Linked DNA regions of Drosophila melanogaster. The protein of the gene in region 2 purifies or fractionates together with the protein of the main gene of each other region. This does not show direct contact. Each region holds a gene or a part of one and is shown on either strand. Other genes may lie near its edges.

The links. Proteins that work in one complex are often made in the same cells at the same time.
Region 1: the proteins of Sec10 (region 2) and Sec5 purify together in Drosophila melanogaster (affinity purification with western blotting, with the first as the bait; one study listed by BioGRID). This does not show direct contact.

Annotation. Positions count from the first base shown.
Region 1 is NT_033779.5:3,455,697-3,462,666, reverse strand, and holds Sec5 (secretory 5), read right to left. Parts: upstream 5,366-6,970; 5' UTR 5,262-5,365; coding exon 5,153-5,261; intron 5,083-5,152; coding exon 4,468-5,082; intron 4,414-4,467; coding exon 2,592-4,413; intron 2,535-2,591; coding exon 2,396-2,534; 3' UTR 2,300-2,395; downstream 1-2,299. Other genes in the region: CG3246 (uncharacterized protein), read left to right, coding at 816-897, 961-1,229, 1,287-2,273; Cog3 (component of oligomeric golgi complex 3), read left to right, coding at 5,632-5,796, 5,853-6,365, 6,423-6,910, 6,964-6,970. UniProt on the Drosophila melanogaster protein: Component of the exocyst complex involved in the docking of exocytic vesicles with fusion sites on the plasma membrane.
Region 2 is NT_033777.3:24,132,894-24,141,636, forward strand, and holds Sec10 (secretory 10), read left to right. Parts: upstream 1-1,937; 5' UTR 1,938-2,020; coding exon 2,021-2,053; intron 2,054-2,113; coding exon 2,114-3,018; intron 3,019-3,087; coding exon 3,088-3,675; intron 3,676-3,733; coding exon 3,734-3,923; intron 3,924-3,992; coding exon 3,993-4,310; intron 4,311-4,382; coding exon 4,383-4,481; 3' UTR 4,482-4,645; downstream 4,646-8,743. Other genes in the region: Tsc1, read left to right, coding at 1-555, 613-770, 897-1,026, 1,084-1,436; Npc2f (Niemann-Pick type C-2f), read left to right, coding at 5,160-5,307, 6,886-6,993, 7,634-7,803, 7,916-8,002. UniProt on the Drosophila melanogaster protein: Component of the exocyst complex involved in the docking of exocytic vesicles with fusion sites on the plasma membrane.

The sequences.
Region 1 (6,970 bases), on a different chromosome or scaffold from region 2:
ATCAACTCCCAAATATCTTTTAGGAGCATTCTACAATCTGATTTTTGTAATCATCCAGCAAACGTTTCCAAAACTCAATTTTTTTTTAATACGTATTAAGCCAAAAGTCGTATACATAACTATTTAAAGCAATTCTGCAGCTGCAGCAAAGATAATCTATTTAAGAGTAAAGCATTAGTCAAAACTAAAGATTATTTTCGTTCAACGAACAGCGAATTATAGATTGCTTTGCCCAAAATGTGGATGCTGTGAGCTAAAAAAAACCTTTTTTTTTAATAGGCTAAGACATTTTTTTGAATAGGCTAAGACTTTTTTTGAGCATGAATTTTTTTGAGCACGTGAACCTAGGATTAAGAACAACAATTCAAGTAAGCCATATATACCCATATTATATATGCGAACATATAACTATTAAAATATTCAAATAAAAATGAGCATTGCTACTACAGAAAAATGCGCGATTTTCTTTGGGTTTCAAAACCGTTTTCGAACCGTAACACTCTTTGCCTCATGCAAGCTGCTAGTTCATGATTTCTAGAACATCGTTCCTGGGAGTGGAGTGAGTTCCATGAGTGCCTACAATGTGCTGGCCGCTTCCGCTCACTTAAGTCACTCAATCTCAATTCCGAGTTTAATCAGCAGCTCCGCGAGCAGAGTCGCCCTTAGATAAGCGGATCGCCGCCTGCGGCTCATCATTATCTTTTGATTAACGCGCCAGTCGACAGTGCGTGTTTGTTCCGAGTAGAGAACGGAGGCTGGCGCGTTTTCTTCCATTTTCCAACTGATAAGCAGAAGCTCCAGCTAATCCCCGAAAGATGAAGCCGTTGATAGTGGTCGTGCTCGTGGGCCTGATGGCAAGTGGCTGCCACATTGTTCACTCCCAGGAGCCTGGCGATGGTAAGACGAATTCCAGTCTGAGCTCTACCGGAACTAAGCCACTCATTAATGACCTTTGAGCAGCTGTGGAGCAGGAAGCCAGCGAGTCGGATGACGCACTTAAGATCAAAGAGAGTCAGGCCAGCATAGCCGCCCAGGTGGAGGCCATGCTCGTGCACTTTCAGCAGGAGGATCCGCAGGGTCTGCCCGGCGTGCCCGTGCCCGATCCGTTGGAGGTGCCCAATGTGAAGAAGAGCATGGGCATGGCCAATCTGGACATGAAGCAGGTCAAGGCGTATGGCTTGTCCAAGTTCCGCATTGATAAAATGAACCTAGACCTGAAGGAAATGAGAGTAAGTTTTCAAGTTGAATTCGAATTGGCTTGAAGTTTCCACTCCTCTGTCCTGCAGTTCAACGGTGGCCTCCAGCTGGACCAGATGCTGGTCAAGGGCCAGTACACCCTCAGTTCATTCTTTTCGAAAGCCAATGGACCCTTTACAGTAGTCCTGAAGAATGTCTATGCCGAGGCAACCGCCTTCTTGGCCGTCGAACGAGACGGTCAGCTGGCCACGGACCGCATCAAGATCGACATCACATTCTCGGACATGACAATGGACTTCCAGAACCTCGGCCTGGTGGGCAGTGTCTTTCAGAGCGTGGTGAACGGTGCGCCCAACTTGGTCTTCGACGCCATGAAGCCATTTATGCTCCAGGAGGCGGACAAAAAGCTGCGCAGCGAGATCAACGTAATGATCCAGAAAACCTTGGGCGAACGCCGACTGCCCAATTCCATAACGCCGCTGGACAGCGCCATTGCCATGGCACGCAAGATGGTTCGGCAGAAGGGCTTCGATCCGTACCACCTGCCTGATGTCAATCGCACCATGGGCGTGTTCAGTGTCCAGTTAGCACACACCTGGATCAATGGAATCTCTAGCTTCTACCGCGTGGGCAACATAACCGCTGGCATGGCCAACAAAACGGTGTCGGTCGTTCTGCAAATAGGCACCCAGCAGGTGACGGGAGCCGGCCAGTGGGAGGTGGGTGTGGGCATGATGACACGCGTCGGTCACGTACAATTTACGGTTCAGCACATACGCGCCACCGTTGGCCTGAGCCAATCCCTGGACACACGCAAGCGGGCGCAGATCACCGATCTGCAGTTTGACATGGGCAACATACAGGTGCGATGTGACGGAGCGGGAACGCTGGACTACGTCATGGAGTTTGCGGTGAACGTCATTCCCAACCTGCTGCGCTACCAGATCATGGACGCCATCGAGAACCCCATCAAGCAGCGTGTGCAGGAGAAGTTCAACACCATCGATGTGGAGCAGGTCATCAAGACCATGGCTCAGAACAACTTCAACTTTGACCCAAAGCTGTTGGGCTTGTGAGTCGTGGTAGTAAGTAAGAGAGTTATGCAATCGAATAAAGATTTATCCCTAGAACATGGGTAATCACAAGCTACTTAAAGTATACGCTATCTACATGGGCTGCGCCCTGCAGTGGAATGTGCCTAGGGGTCCTTGACACTGAAGCAGAGCAGCTGCAGACGCATGTTCCGCTTGACCCGCTCCAGAATCTCGTCCGCCTTACGCTTCTGCTCGCCACTCAGGGGCGGATTGATGGCCTCCAGCGCTTCCATGAAGTAGTTCCTTTTGCAGATTAGAAGAATTATTGAAATTCATAGGTATTTCATTTAGATCACTCACTTGGCAGTCTCATTGACGTAACCTTCCAGGGAGTCCCTCAATAGACGGATATCCACGTGGGCCTGAATCGCTCCCGTGAAGCTAAAGCGCTGGACACAGCTCATCAGACGGGCCAGCTCTTCGGATATGGTTTGCACAATGGACTCCAGGATGGGTCGCAGCAGTGCCGGTGAAATGCTGTAGATCTCGGAGTAGACACCAACCAAATTATCGCAGCACTCGTGAGCGTAAGGACGCAGCTGGCCGATCTCCATCTCGTGATCCCACTGGAAACGACCCAGATACATGGAGGGCTCGATGGTGCCGACCAGCGGATCGCCCTTATGCTCGACGTACTCCTCCAGAAGATTGGTAAAGAGCTGGTTAACCGTGTAGCGAGCAGTTTCGATTGCCAGCGTGGGCAGCGGGTAACCGTAGCGAACGAAGATGTCACCAAGGCGCGGGAAGAAGATCTTGTTGCAGTACGCATAGTTGGCCAGGCAACAGAGCATGCGCTGCTCCCAGGTCACAGCCGCTGCTCCGCCGCTTCCAGCCACCGAATCTGGCTGCTGGGCATTGGGGAATCCAAGTAGCTGCGACACATTGTGGGTGGGCGTCTCCTCGTCGTGGGAGTGGAAGGCCAGCTCCTCGATCACCGCGCTAAACGCGGATAGGAATTCTTGTAGTCGCTGTGTCACCTCTCTCTGTCCATCCGACTGCGGCTCGAGGAGATTGCCCTCCCGGGTCTCCCTTTGCATGCACACAGATTGCACCTCGTCCAGCGTTTCGATGAGCAATGTTTCCAAGGCGGCGGGTAACAATGTGGCACCTGGATATTCCTCCACGCCCAGTTCCCAGGTCTCCTGGCTGCCCAGCTTTTTGCACCGATCCGTGGCCCGTTTGAAGATAATTGAGAAGCAGAAAAGTCGCACCTCATCGATCAGTTTCTGTATGATGTCCAGCGCTTCCGAGGGCAGATCCAGGCTGATGAGCGTGGCATAGGCTATCCTCGTGAAACGCAGGCACTGCGGAATCCAGGGTAGAAACTGATGTGTTGCCGATGCGGAGCCGATGGGCCAAGCCAAGCCGCTGGACTGACGCAGGGCGCGCTGATCCGTGGCAATGAGAATGGCCAACCTCAAGTAGACACAGAACTTCTCGATGGCGTTCAAAACCATTCGCTTGAAATCCCCTGGCTTGGGATCATGAGGTCCGCGTAGCTCGCCGGTGAAGTATAGCTGGCCCAGACGCCACAAGTCCGGCAGCTGGGAGGCGGCAATGTCGCACAGTTCTTCGCAGAAGTTAACCCGATTGGGCGCCTGGCTGGAATCCCTGTTCTTTGCCTTTTCCTGGGCACCCGAATCCTTGCTGGTGTGCTGATCAAATGTCTGGCGAAATGTCCACTCCAGATATTTGGCTCTGGCCTCGATGGCATCCCAGGCGGGATCGATGTTGCGCAGTTTATCGCCAATGGGAGTTCCGCTCTGCTGCAGTTCCAGACTGATCAGCGCCTTGATGAGCTTCTTCTGTTGCTCCACGCTCTGTGGCATCTTGACCACCTTCTCGTGCAGTTGTTTCCTTATTGACAGAATCCTGTGGTCGACCTCCTCGAGCACCTTGCGGAAAATGGGAATCTCCGTCTTGCCAAAGAGGTTCTTGGCGCGCGAGTAGTCGTTAACCACAATGTCATATTCACCCGCCTTGGCACGTCTGTCCACCGAATTGGGCAGACAGAAGAGGAACTTGTGCCGCGACAGGGCGAACAGAACGGACCGCGTGGAATCCGCCTTCTCTTTGCGCACCAGCACATCCGTGAATATCTTTTGCGATTCGCTAATGGAGTCTATAAGTCGAACAATTTTAGAATTAAATATCTTAATCTATAAACCCCACTCACTCTCTATGGATGTTTCCAAGATATTTAGGGTCTCATTGCCGTGTAGCTTGACATCCTCCTGCAGCTTGTCTCGGATGTTCATCAGCGTATCGAGCTGGTCAATCACCGAGCCTGCATTGGACTTGAGGAAGGACAACTGACCTTCCTTCTGGCTCTCCACTTTCCGCTTCAAGTAGGACAGGCCCGCCTTGAGATCCTCGAAGGAGGTGGCCAGGTGATTTTCAAGCAGGAACCAGGCCGGGGAGAAGTGCTCCTGCGACAGATCCCCGCAGGCTTCGGGAAAGAGATCGCGGAGGTCCTCGGGGATCTTCTGCTCGTTACCCTCGATGGACAGCCCAAGTGGATCCTCCTGCGTCAGTCCGGATTGGGCTAGGGTGCGCCGACCCCAGGCAAAATTCTGCGAGGGCGACTCCTCGATCCACACGGCGGACTCCTTGAGCGGGCCAATGGTCTCGTGGTATGCACGAAACTGAACCGTGGACGTGCCCACTCCGCCGCTTAAAGTGGTCACTATGATATCGCCTTTTCCCTTCGCCGGACCAGTGCGTGCGATGATTTTATTGGGTGATTTCCACTCCGCCGACAGCAGACAATCTGAACCGCAGATTTTTAGACCTTACATTTTTTTTTTTTGGAAGGGAAAGTCATCAGAAAACAGAAGCTATTTGGGACAGGCTACGCCTACCAATTAGATCTTGCACTCGGGTGCCCAGGAACTCGCCGCGAATGATAACGCGGGTGCCAGGAGGACCCTCCTTCGGAGATAGCCCCGTAACCACTGGCTGCGGCGCCATCGTATGCTATATGATGCGGAAAAACTGATCAAAATGCAATAAAAACAATAGAGAACAGAACTTTATTGATGCTGCCAGTGATGGAAAACGTCCCGTCAGTGGTGAAATCTTGGCTAAGTAATCGCCAAGCTAAACAGACAGATATTTAATATAAAACTTATGTAAGAAACGGACGAGCATAAAAAGAGCTTAAAATGTATTAAATCTAAAATTAAAGATTACTTAACATATGATACCATTCAAATAAAGGCAACTTATATCAATCAAGAGTTTTAGTTCTAGCTAAGTCTCCTTGCTGAGCAGCACTGGAAGGCGCAGACCGGTCATCTCTGAACAGCTGATTGATTGTTTCCAAATCCGCCGCAGAAAAATGGATGACGTCGAACGAATTCAGAGCGAGAATGAGAATTTGCGCAAGATTCGCAATCGCCTGATGCAATGGGAGTCCAAAACGGACCCGCTGGCGGCTCTGAGTATCCAGCAAGAGGAGCACCTGGACGTCCTGACCAATCTGTGGCGCGACAGCGGACCATCGGTGAGTCGACTCCTCCTCGAATGGCAATCGTATAATTGCAACCCGACTCTTTGTAGGCACCGGCACCGACTACGCCCACCCAGGTGGGTCCTACCGATTCATCGGCAGCTGCAACTTCGCAAAGCGGCGATGACATCAGACTACCTGCGGAGGGACTCCAGAACACCAATGAGTTTCTGCTTTGGTTCGCGGACGTCAGCGCCGAGATCGAGCAACGTGGCGATGCCGACTACCACAAATACCTGCAGCAGCTGGAGCAGCGCAAAGCGGAGTGCTCCCACATGCTGGACCAGATCGCTGGGGCCATGGAGCGCCTGGGTGCCCTCTGCGACGAGTACGACTTTGTGTCGCAAAAGACCAGCGCTCTGAACACGGCCAGCGAGCAGTTGATCGAGGAGCAGGAGCGACTGCAGGAGCTGAGTCACGAGATTCAACGCCGTCTGCACTACTTCAGCCAGGTGGAGTTGCTCAACCAACGACTTCAGAGCCCCACGCTTTCGGTGGCTAGCGAAGCGTTCCGGGAGTGCCTCAACAAGATCGACGAATGCCTAAACTACATCGAGGAGAATGTGAGCTTGTCTGTTACACTTCGGTCATGTATATACTAATATCCTTCATTGTCACAGCCCAAATTCAAGGATGCGGCCGCCTACAATGTGAAGTACAGGCAGTGCCTGGCCAAAGCCTCGGGTCTGGTGCGTAACTATGTGACGAGTGTGATAAACCAGGCAACCGAGGCCACGCTCCATCCCAAGAACAATATGCCGGATGCCTCCGCTGCTCTCAAGGCACCAGATGCCGCATTCGCTCTGTACTACGGCAAATATCAAACGGCCGCGGCAAAAGTGAAGCGGGTCGCCCAGTTGATTGAGTCCCGGTCGGAACACAGCCTCGACTACGCCCAACTAATGGCGGATCTTCAACAGCACTACTTGGCGCAAAGAGCCAGCGTTATGTCGCCAGCAGTGAATCTGTCCATACAAAACGTTAAGGTGGCCCACAAAGGGGATCACTGCTCTCTCACCCGAAGCGCCTGCGCCTTTTTGGTGCATGTTTGCCAGGACGAACAGCGTTTGTTCTACCAGTTCTTCAGCACAGGAGCGCCACACCTGACGTAATACTCGTACATCTAGTTGGAAAATAGGATTGATCTCATTTTTCCCACAGGGTTTAT
Region 2 (8,743 bases):
ACCGTCGATCCATTCACGCAGAGCGCAATCGACGACTCATGGGGCGAAGCAGGGACAAGCGCAGCCTGGAAATGGAGCGGGATCGGTTAAGGGAGCAGCTTAAGAACTTCGATGCGAAGAACAAGGATCTGGCAAACAAAATGGATCAGGCCATTCGGTTGGCCAACGAGCGCCAGAACATCCACCAGGAGGAGCTGGGCGAAATGAGGGCTAAGTACCAGCACGAACTGGAGGAAAAGAAGTGCCTGCGGCAGGCAAACGATGACCTGCAGACGCGACTCACCAGCGAGTTGGCGCGCCACAAGGAGATGAACTATGAACTGGAGTCTCTGCGAGGTCAGGTCTTCAGTTTGGGAACCGAGCTTCAACACACCCAGCAGCAGGCGGACATTGGGCTGCAGTGCAAGCAGGAGCTGGCACGACTGGAGGCCGAGTTTATTATCATGGGTGAGGTGCAAGTGCGTTGCCGCGACCGTCTGGCTGAGATCGATAACTTCAGGGCCCGCGACGAGGAACTGCAGATGCTACAAGAGAGCAGCAACCTGGAACTGAAGGGTGCCTATTCATTGTTTATATGATACGGATGTTTAATCATTCAGTTTATTTATTAAGATCTGAGGCACAGCCTGGACGAGAAGACATCACAGCTGGAAAGCATGAAGCACAAGATCAGCGACCTGCAGGCCCAGCTAGCCAACAGCGAGAAGGCCATGACGGAGCAAAAGCGACTTCTAAGCACCGTCAAGGATGAGTACGAAGAAAAGTTTAAGGTAGGGCTGATATTTAAAATCGTATACTTATCTGAAATAGTTCGGACTTTTAAGAAATAGTCTGTGTTTACCAGTAACTTCATTTCAATTAAGAGTAATAAGCCTTAAAAATCGTCGTCCTTGCAGTCCGTGAACAAGAAGTATGACGTGCAAAAGAAGATAATTATGCAGATGGAGGAGAAGCTGATGATGATGATGCAGCAGCCGCAAGGAACAACAGGTCATAACACCTGTTCCCCGGACACGGACAGAACTGGTGAGTGCAAGAGCTGCTTCGCAGCTAAAGAATACTTACTATTGCATTCTCCCACAGACATAGCTTCATCCATTGAACGCAACTCACCGCTATCCACGTCGCTGGCCTCGAGCGAGAGCTTATCCGCCAGCCTACGCTCCACGGAGCTGAAGAACCTGCACCAGCTAGTGGACACGCCCACTATTCCGGATGTGCTGAACAGCATGGCCGGTGGCGCTCAGTTCGAGGACGAAGTGCGTCCGCCGGCCGTGGATCTGGCCTCCTCGGCAAGCACCGCCAGTGCCATCAACATCGTGCCGCACGCCTTGGACTTGCCGTCGACCTCCGGCGGCATCGGTCACACGCTCACCCACCCACATCCGCATCCGCACCTGCACCTGCAGCAACAGCAACAGGATCAACTGCAGTAGTAGCAGCAGACGCAGTTTGTAAAAACAAATAAGAACTAGCTTTCCTTCGCTAAACAAATGTCTATTGGGAAAACCCGCACAGAAAATTTACAAAAAAAAGTTATTGGTTCTTCATATTTTCATATTCAGTTCAAAACTGTAACTAAGGTTTAATAAATCGCTGACTCCACGCAATAATTATAAAGGTTATAAAAAATATTAATGTTTGAAATTTTAACTTGTTTAGCACATTGCAATTTGTTGTAAAAAAGTGGTTTTGATACGAGGCAATAAGTAAGACGCGCATTCATATTATAATAAACATTTGATTAAGATCAGCAAACATAAAAGCATTGTTTTATTTTATTTAATTGTAAACATACTATTTGTTATATAACAACCGCCAAACATTTAAATTTTAGCTAAGAGAGCAAACAAAAACGTAAACAAACCGAGCGACATTGCCAGCTGAAAGAAAGTGAGAAGTGTGGCAACCTTAAACGAAACAGCTGAGCGGAAGCAACAATAATATAGAAAGAAGAAGCAGAAAAGAAACGCCTATTAAATCAGATCATTTAAATACGAAAACTTAATAATACATTAAAATGCTATCCCAATACATGGAGGAGTTTGAACAGGTGGGCTCAAAGGTCACGTAGGCCCGATTATGGCTTATATTTATTAATCATAACCAACAGGAACCCTTTGAGGTGGGCGAGTTCATAGAGCGTCTGACTTGGCGCACCAACAATGAACTCCAGAACAGCGAGGACTTTCATCCTGTGGCCCTCCACGATACCTTCATCCAGACCATTAAGGACCTAAAGATCCTGCAGGAGAAGCAACAAAGCAAGTGCGAACGGCTAGAGGAGTCACTGCGCCAGGAGAAGGAGTCGCACGCCAAAAAGATTGCCAAGCTCCAAGAACGCCACCAAACGGCCATTGATGTGTTCGGCCAGCTGGACGAAAAAATCAATTCGGTGGCCGGCAAGATCATGCACCTGGGCGAACAGTTGGAGAATGTGAACACTCCACGCAGTCGTTCAGTGGAGGCCCAGAAGTTACTCAATTTTATGTCCGAGTTTTTAGCCGCTGGCCCTGTGATTGTCAACGATATTTTTGCGGATGCCGCAAGATTAAGTGAGGCCGCAGATGTGATACAAAAGCTCTACGCTATCTCGCAGGATCTGCCGCCCGGAAACTTTGCGGAATCCAAAAGAAAAATCGAAAAGAAATACGATGAAGTCGAGCGGCGGTTGATCGAAGAGTTTGCCACCGCCCAGAAGAGCGAGGACATCGAGCGCATGAAGACACTGGCCCAGATCTTGTCCCAGTTCAAGGGTTACACTCAGTGTGTAGACGCATACATCGAGCAGAGCCAAATGCAACCGTACAGTGGCAAAGACATATTTATAGGCATTGTACCGCTATGCAAGCATCACTACGAGATAATCCAGAAGGTGTTTGCCAATCCGCAGCAGGTTATGTCCAAGTTCATACTTAACATATATCAACTGAAGCTTCACCAGTACGCCATGACTAAGTTGGAGGACAAAAAAGACGAGGAGAAATATCTTCGCACCCTTTATGAGTTATACTCGCGGTGAGTCATTCAGAAGTTACGTTAAATGTCAAAATTTGCGATTACTTTCATTTCACAACCACTTTGCAGCACACTAAAATTGTCAACAGATCTTCAAATCTACATGTCCACGATCGACGACGACTTGTTACAGAAGCTGACACAGCAGATTTTTATAAAGCATTTGGCCGGCTACGCCGAAATGGAGACCAAATGCCTCACAGCCAAGTGTTCCACAGAGCTGGAAAAGTTCTATGCCAGCAAGAAACACCAAAAGACTGCAACTACTAAGGGCTTTCGGAGAAACATGGAGGTGCTGATAGCCACGCGGGCTAACATAAATATTGCTGCCATCGAGGACTATGGCGGGGAGACGTTCCTATCCGAAGAGTTGGCCATCAACATGCTGCAGGAGGCCAAGGCGTCGCTTAAGCGCTGTCGCCTGCTGTCCAACGAGACCGAACTACCAGGCAATGCTATAAAGCTAAACGATATCCTTCTTCGTTTCTTGATGCACGAGCACGTAGATTACGCACTGGAGTTGGGACTGCAAGCAGTGCCACTGGCCGAGGGCAGGGTCTTTCCCCAGCTCTACTTCTTTGATGTGGTGCAAAAGACGAACATCATTGTCCATCTACTGGACAAGCTGTGCCACACATCTGTCATACCCTGTGTGAGGTATGTTAGGACTTTGTTAATTTACATTTTATAGAATGTATAATGTATTCTTTTCTAGTAATACACCCAAGTACTCGGACTATGTGTTCAAAAAACGTATTCTGATGGAGCAAATCGAGACAAAGCTGGACCAGGGTCTTGATCGCTCTATTAGCGCTGTTATTGGCTGGGTCAAGGTATATTTGCAATATGAACAAAAGAAAACGGACTACAAGCCGGAAACAGATGTGGATACAATATCTTCAGCGGTAAGATATAAATTTAGTAAAATCGAGCTTATCTGTCTATCCTTAAAAATGTTTATTTTTCTTTTCTAGGCCTGCTTACAAGTCGTTCAGAATCTGCAGCCCGTGATTGTGCAGATTAAAAAATGTGTTGATGGAGAGAATTTGCAGAATGTTCTTACAGAATTTGGAACTCGGTTGCACCGAGTAATCTACGATCACCTGCAGACCATGCAGTTCAACACGGCTGGCGCCATGTGTGCCATCTGCGACGTGAACGAGTATCGCAAGTGCATTCGCGAGCTGGATAGTCCACTGGTCACGCAGCTGTTTGACATACTGCATGCATTGTGCAATTTACTACTTGTTAAGCCCCAAAACCTTCAAGAAGTTTGCACGGGTGACACTCTGGTAAGTGTGCGGTGCCTTTGATGTCGAGCGATAGTCTTACGTTACCATCTGTATCCACCCCACTCTATTTAGAATTATCTGGACAAGTCGGTGGTGCGGCAATTCATTCAGCTGCGCACTGATTTCAGGATCATCAAGAACACCAACTATCTGAAGGGTATTATTGAGTGAGGAGTTCGACGTCCAGAATGATTCACATTCCAAAATTTTCCACCTTCGCTGTCTACGGATTAAATTGATTTATTAAAGGGGACATTATCTAATGATGTTTAATTATGGCTTGCCATGTTCTTTAACTTTCAATTAAAGTCAAGTGGCTGGTTACTTTTATCAATACATCGCCCGCGTTACTTGATTTACTTTCGTGTATTTATAGGCGCGACTCACACGCGTGCCCGCCGCCCAACCACCCACTCTCAGACCCACACACGCCTCCAGCTACGTCACGGACTTCCCGTTTGGAAATCTTCAAAGAGATTCGCTGACCTTATCAGTTGGAGCTGAAGCGAAAGTCAGCGTTATTTGCTCCCATCGGCTTCCAGTCAATAAATCAAAGTTTATTGCCTAGGCGTCCGCGAATTATTTATTTATTTACGTTTGCCCGGAGAGTGCCAGCACTCCAATCGAAGAGAGGCCGGCTACTTTTGTTGGTACCCACTATTCTTGGTGTCAGTCACCTAATAGCCACCAAGCAAATCGTATCGCCAAAAAAAAACGTTGCCAGCCCGTGATCCTGATTAACGAACTGCTTTGTTATTGTTATTAACATTTCTTATTTGCACACCTACGCAAAATTCGTTTGGACGATATTCTAATCAAACCGCGATCAAGATCTCAGTCGATTAAACCATGCGCGGCGCCCTAATGGATTACTATCTAAAAATACTCTTGGTTATTTGCGCTGCCCACGAATTGGCCGGCGGAACGATCAAGTCTACCAGAGATGCTGTTTACAAAAAATATCTGTCCCTAAGATCTTTGCCCTTCGAGGATTGCGGTAAGTATATCTCAGGATCAGTGCTTTTCGGTGGGTCGATTCAGACAACGTATAAAATCAATTGATTTCCACAGGGGAAAAAAACGGTAAGAAAATATCTCGAGCAGTTTTCTTATACACCATGGCTTTGTTAAGGTATGCATTCGAAAAGAAACCTCAAAAGCTTTATATTCGAAAAAATATTAGAATTAGAAATCATTCTACTAAAATATTATCTTCCGGTGGAAAATCGACCTACCGAATAATACTATAATAATACAATAATAAGGAATTACTTCCGCAACACCCATTTTCGGGAATTTTAATGGATCCAATATTGTGCACTGTAATTCAGATTATATCGCTGCCAAGTATATTGTAAATTTCACAGGGCGCAATCTGACAAAAGAGAAAACGATATAACAGAGTTCCTCGACCATCAGATACCCCTTAGTCACCTTAAGGCAGTCCGAGCAAAGGATTGAATCTTGCAATCTTGCAATTCAATCAATTTCGAGATTAAATATAAATTTATGGTTATAGGATTTTAAGAACTACGTATGGAAATATCAAAAAACGAATATAGTATACCCTATTACTCTATGAGTAACGAATATATATAATAGTCATAAAGAGTAATTCCCCGATAGTAGCGCCTTTAACTTCACTTTATACTTGTGACATGATAAATCTAATTTATGATACATTACCATAATCGAAAAATACTATCAGAGCTTAATTTGAAAGTGGGTAAGATCTGTGGGCGTAATAAACGTGATATTCCAATGACATCAACAAAAAACCCGAATATAGTTACTTGTTTTCAATTTTTCATTATCAACAGAATATAAAATTAGATTGACGCTGTTCATTTTGCAGTCAAGGAAAAAGAAATCCTATTTTTAACTACTTTTAATTACCCAGCTTAGTTGATTTTAGGGCATCAAACCTTCGTTAACTAGTTTTGGTTGCCCAAAACACGAGCTATTAATTGTATTCTGGTTTTTACGATGTCTGATTAAATGGAGTATTTATGGACTGTGCACAGTAAATACATGATTTATGTTCTAGATTTGAGGAACTGTAAACAAACAGATATGACGCCCTTATGGGGGATTACCTTATGACGCTGATAGACAGGCGAACGCCCACTTTGGGGGGGCAGTAATCAATGAGCAGCCAAGTTAATTGAGTGTTGTAATCTAATGCTGAACGCGGTTCATTTTTTGAAGATAGAAACTTTTTAACGGCCTTGGGAAGTGCACTTGGTCATAGATTATTTAGAAATGCGTATATAGTATGTATAGGCGATCGCCTGTGTGGATCGCAGATAATTCGGCTTAGTTGCTGAGAGTAAAGTTTTTTACTTTGTTGCCAGGTGTTAATTATATGGTTGAATGGCATGTACTATGTCACGTAACCAAATCCATTCAGGATAGAATGCCCAACCTTACCTACTCTATGGATCGTATCCTTATTATGTTTAAAGGAATAACTACGAACTATTTTAGCATGTTGTTAGCATAAGATCTAAAGCTAAAAGATCCATATCTTCTGGTTTTATGTGCCTTTTAAATCTGTTTCCATTGCCTCTTTTAGGTTCTTTGTACCAGGTCAGCTACCTGGACATCGAGAGCTGTACGACACTGCCCTGCTCCATGGCCCGGAACGCGACAATTAAGGTTACTGTGCGCTTCGATGATAATGGTATGTAGGTGCTCCGCTGATAACAGCAGATCCGTGCATTCGGAATTGGGATTTCTCAGAGCAACGTACACTCGACTCGCGTTCTGAGCAAAAGTCAGTCGGAAATAAAAATAGATGTGGTGCGGGCGAAGAACTTCGATCAGGTGAATGGCGGATGTTCGGGTGGGGCAAGGTGTTTTGGAACCCCCTGAATTCCCTGAATATGCATGGTCAAATGATGGTGGCAATAATGATAAGCTGGTGAAGATTGTATATCTACAAAAACTCACCGAATTTCCTGCTGCTACTACTACTACTGTTTATGTTCAATGCATTTCGATTGCAACCTAGGCTCAGCCCCACAGTCGATCCATAAATAATAAATTAAACGCCTAATGGTATTTTGATGAATCAGCAGAAATGGAGACGAAATCGAAACGATTGATCTCAGCACGAATCGAACATTTGGAGTACTAATTTGCGATAGGGGGCTGAAACGAAGATTGGCCAAAAATTCGATTAAAGAGAGCATGCAAAACATGTTCAGATAATTGGATTAGAGTTTCAGCTTTGATAAAAAACGTACAGCCAAGCCAAAATGATAGTAATAGTATAATTGTTTTATGTTATAGTAAAACTTATTATTTTATCCCATTAACAGGCAATGGCGTCAGCTTTCTGAAGCACGAAGTCCGATGGGTGTTTAACTACATCAAGACCCAGGCGGCCATAACTCCCGATCCCTGCGACGGAGATCACGGATGCATAGAGAGCGCAAGTGGTGGAAAGGCCTATTGGGCCAATATCTTTGTGAACGAAACTTTGCCGGTGGTAAGTAAAGAACCCTTACAATAAACTCTACAAATCACCATTAATATTCATTCGTACATATTCTTAATTATATATTTTATATATATATAATATATTTCTCTCTGTGTTCCAGATGAAAGGTAGCATGTTGTGGGAATCCAAGGATGCGAACGATCAGAACCTAATCTGTTTCCAGGTTCCCGTTGTAATCACAGTGTAAATGTGTAATCACGAAAATAAAGTAATTGGTGCATGCAAATCAACAGACCAGTGCGTTTGTGTGTGTGTGTGGGGGAGGGGAGGTGTGCATGTGTGCATCCTTTAATGAAATTTTGAATGAAAACAAAGGGGCGCGGCATCGTAGTAGTAGAAAGGGAGAGCGAGCGAGACGGGAGGTGGAGATCTCCGTTTTGGCACGGCACACACGGTGAGTGGGAGCGGGAGCAAGTGGAGCACGGCACAGTGGTACAAATCGCTGATATAGCACTTAAACAGTCGAGTATAAACAATACTATTTAAATATAACAGAAATATATGTTTATAACTTAAAATAGTTATGTAACAAACTATTATATGCTGTGTGATTATTTTGAATATTTTATAATTAATATTATGTTCGAAAAATCCACCACCTTGCCCACTGTGGCGAGAGAGCGGCGGGAGAACGGGAGCATTGGAGCTCGAGCCCTGCAGTCCGAGTCCGTGGCGTTCAGTGTGTCACTCTCTCTTGGGGGCTGCAGCGCAACGGTCGCACGAAAAGAGCTCCCACTTGAGATTTAGATTCAGATTCTGATTCGGATTGAGATTCGGTTTCGGTTTTGTTACTTAAGATCAACAGTTCCCAGGAGCGGAAATCGGAACAGTGCGGCGAATTAAAGATTAAAGTGGCAACAAGCGATCAAAGAAGGCGCTCCGACTGCGTGGGAGTACGAGATCACGGATCACGAGGCGTGGAGCCAGT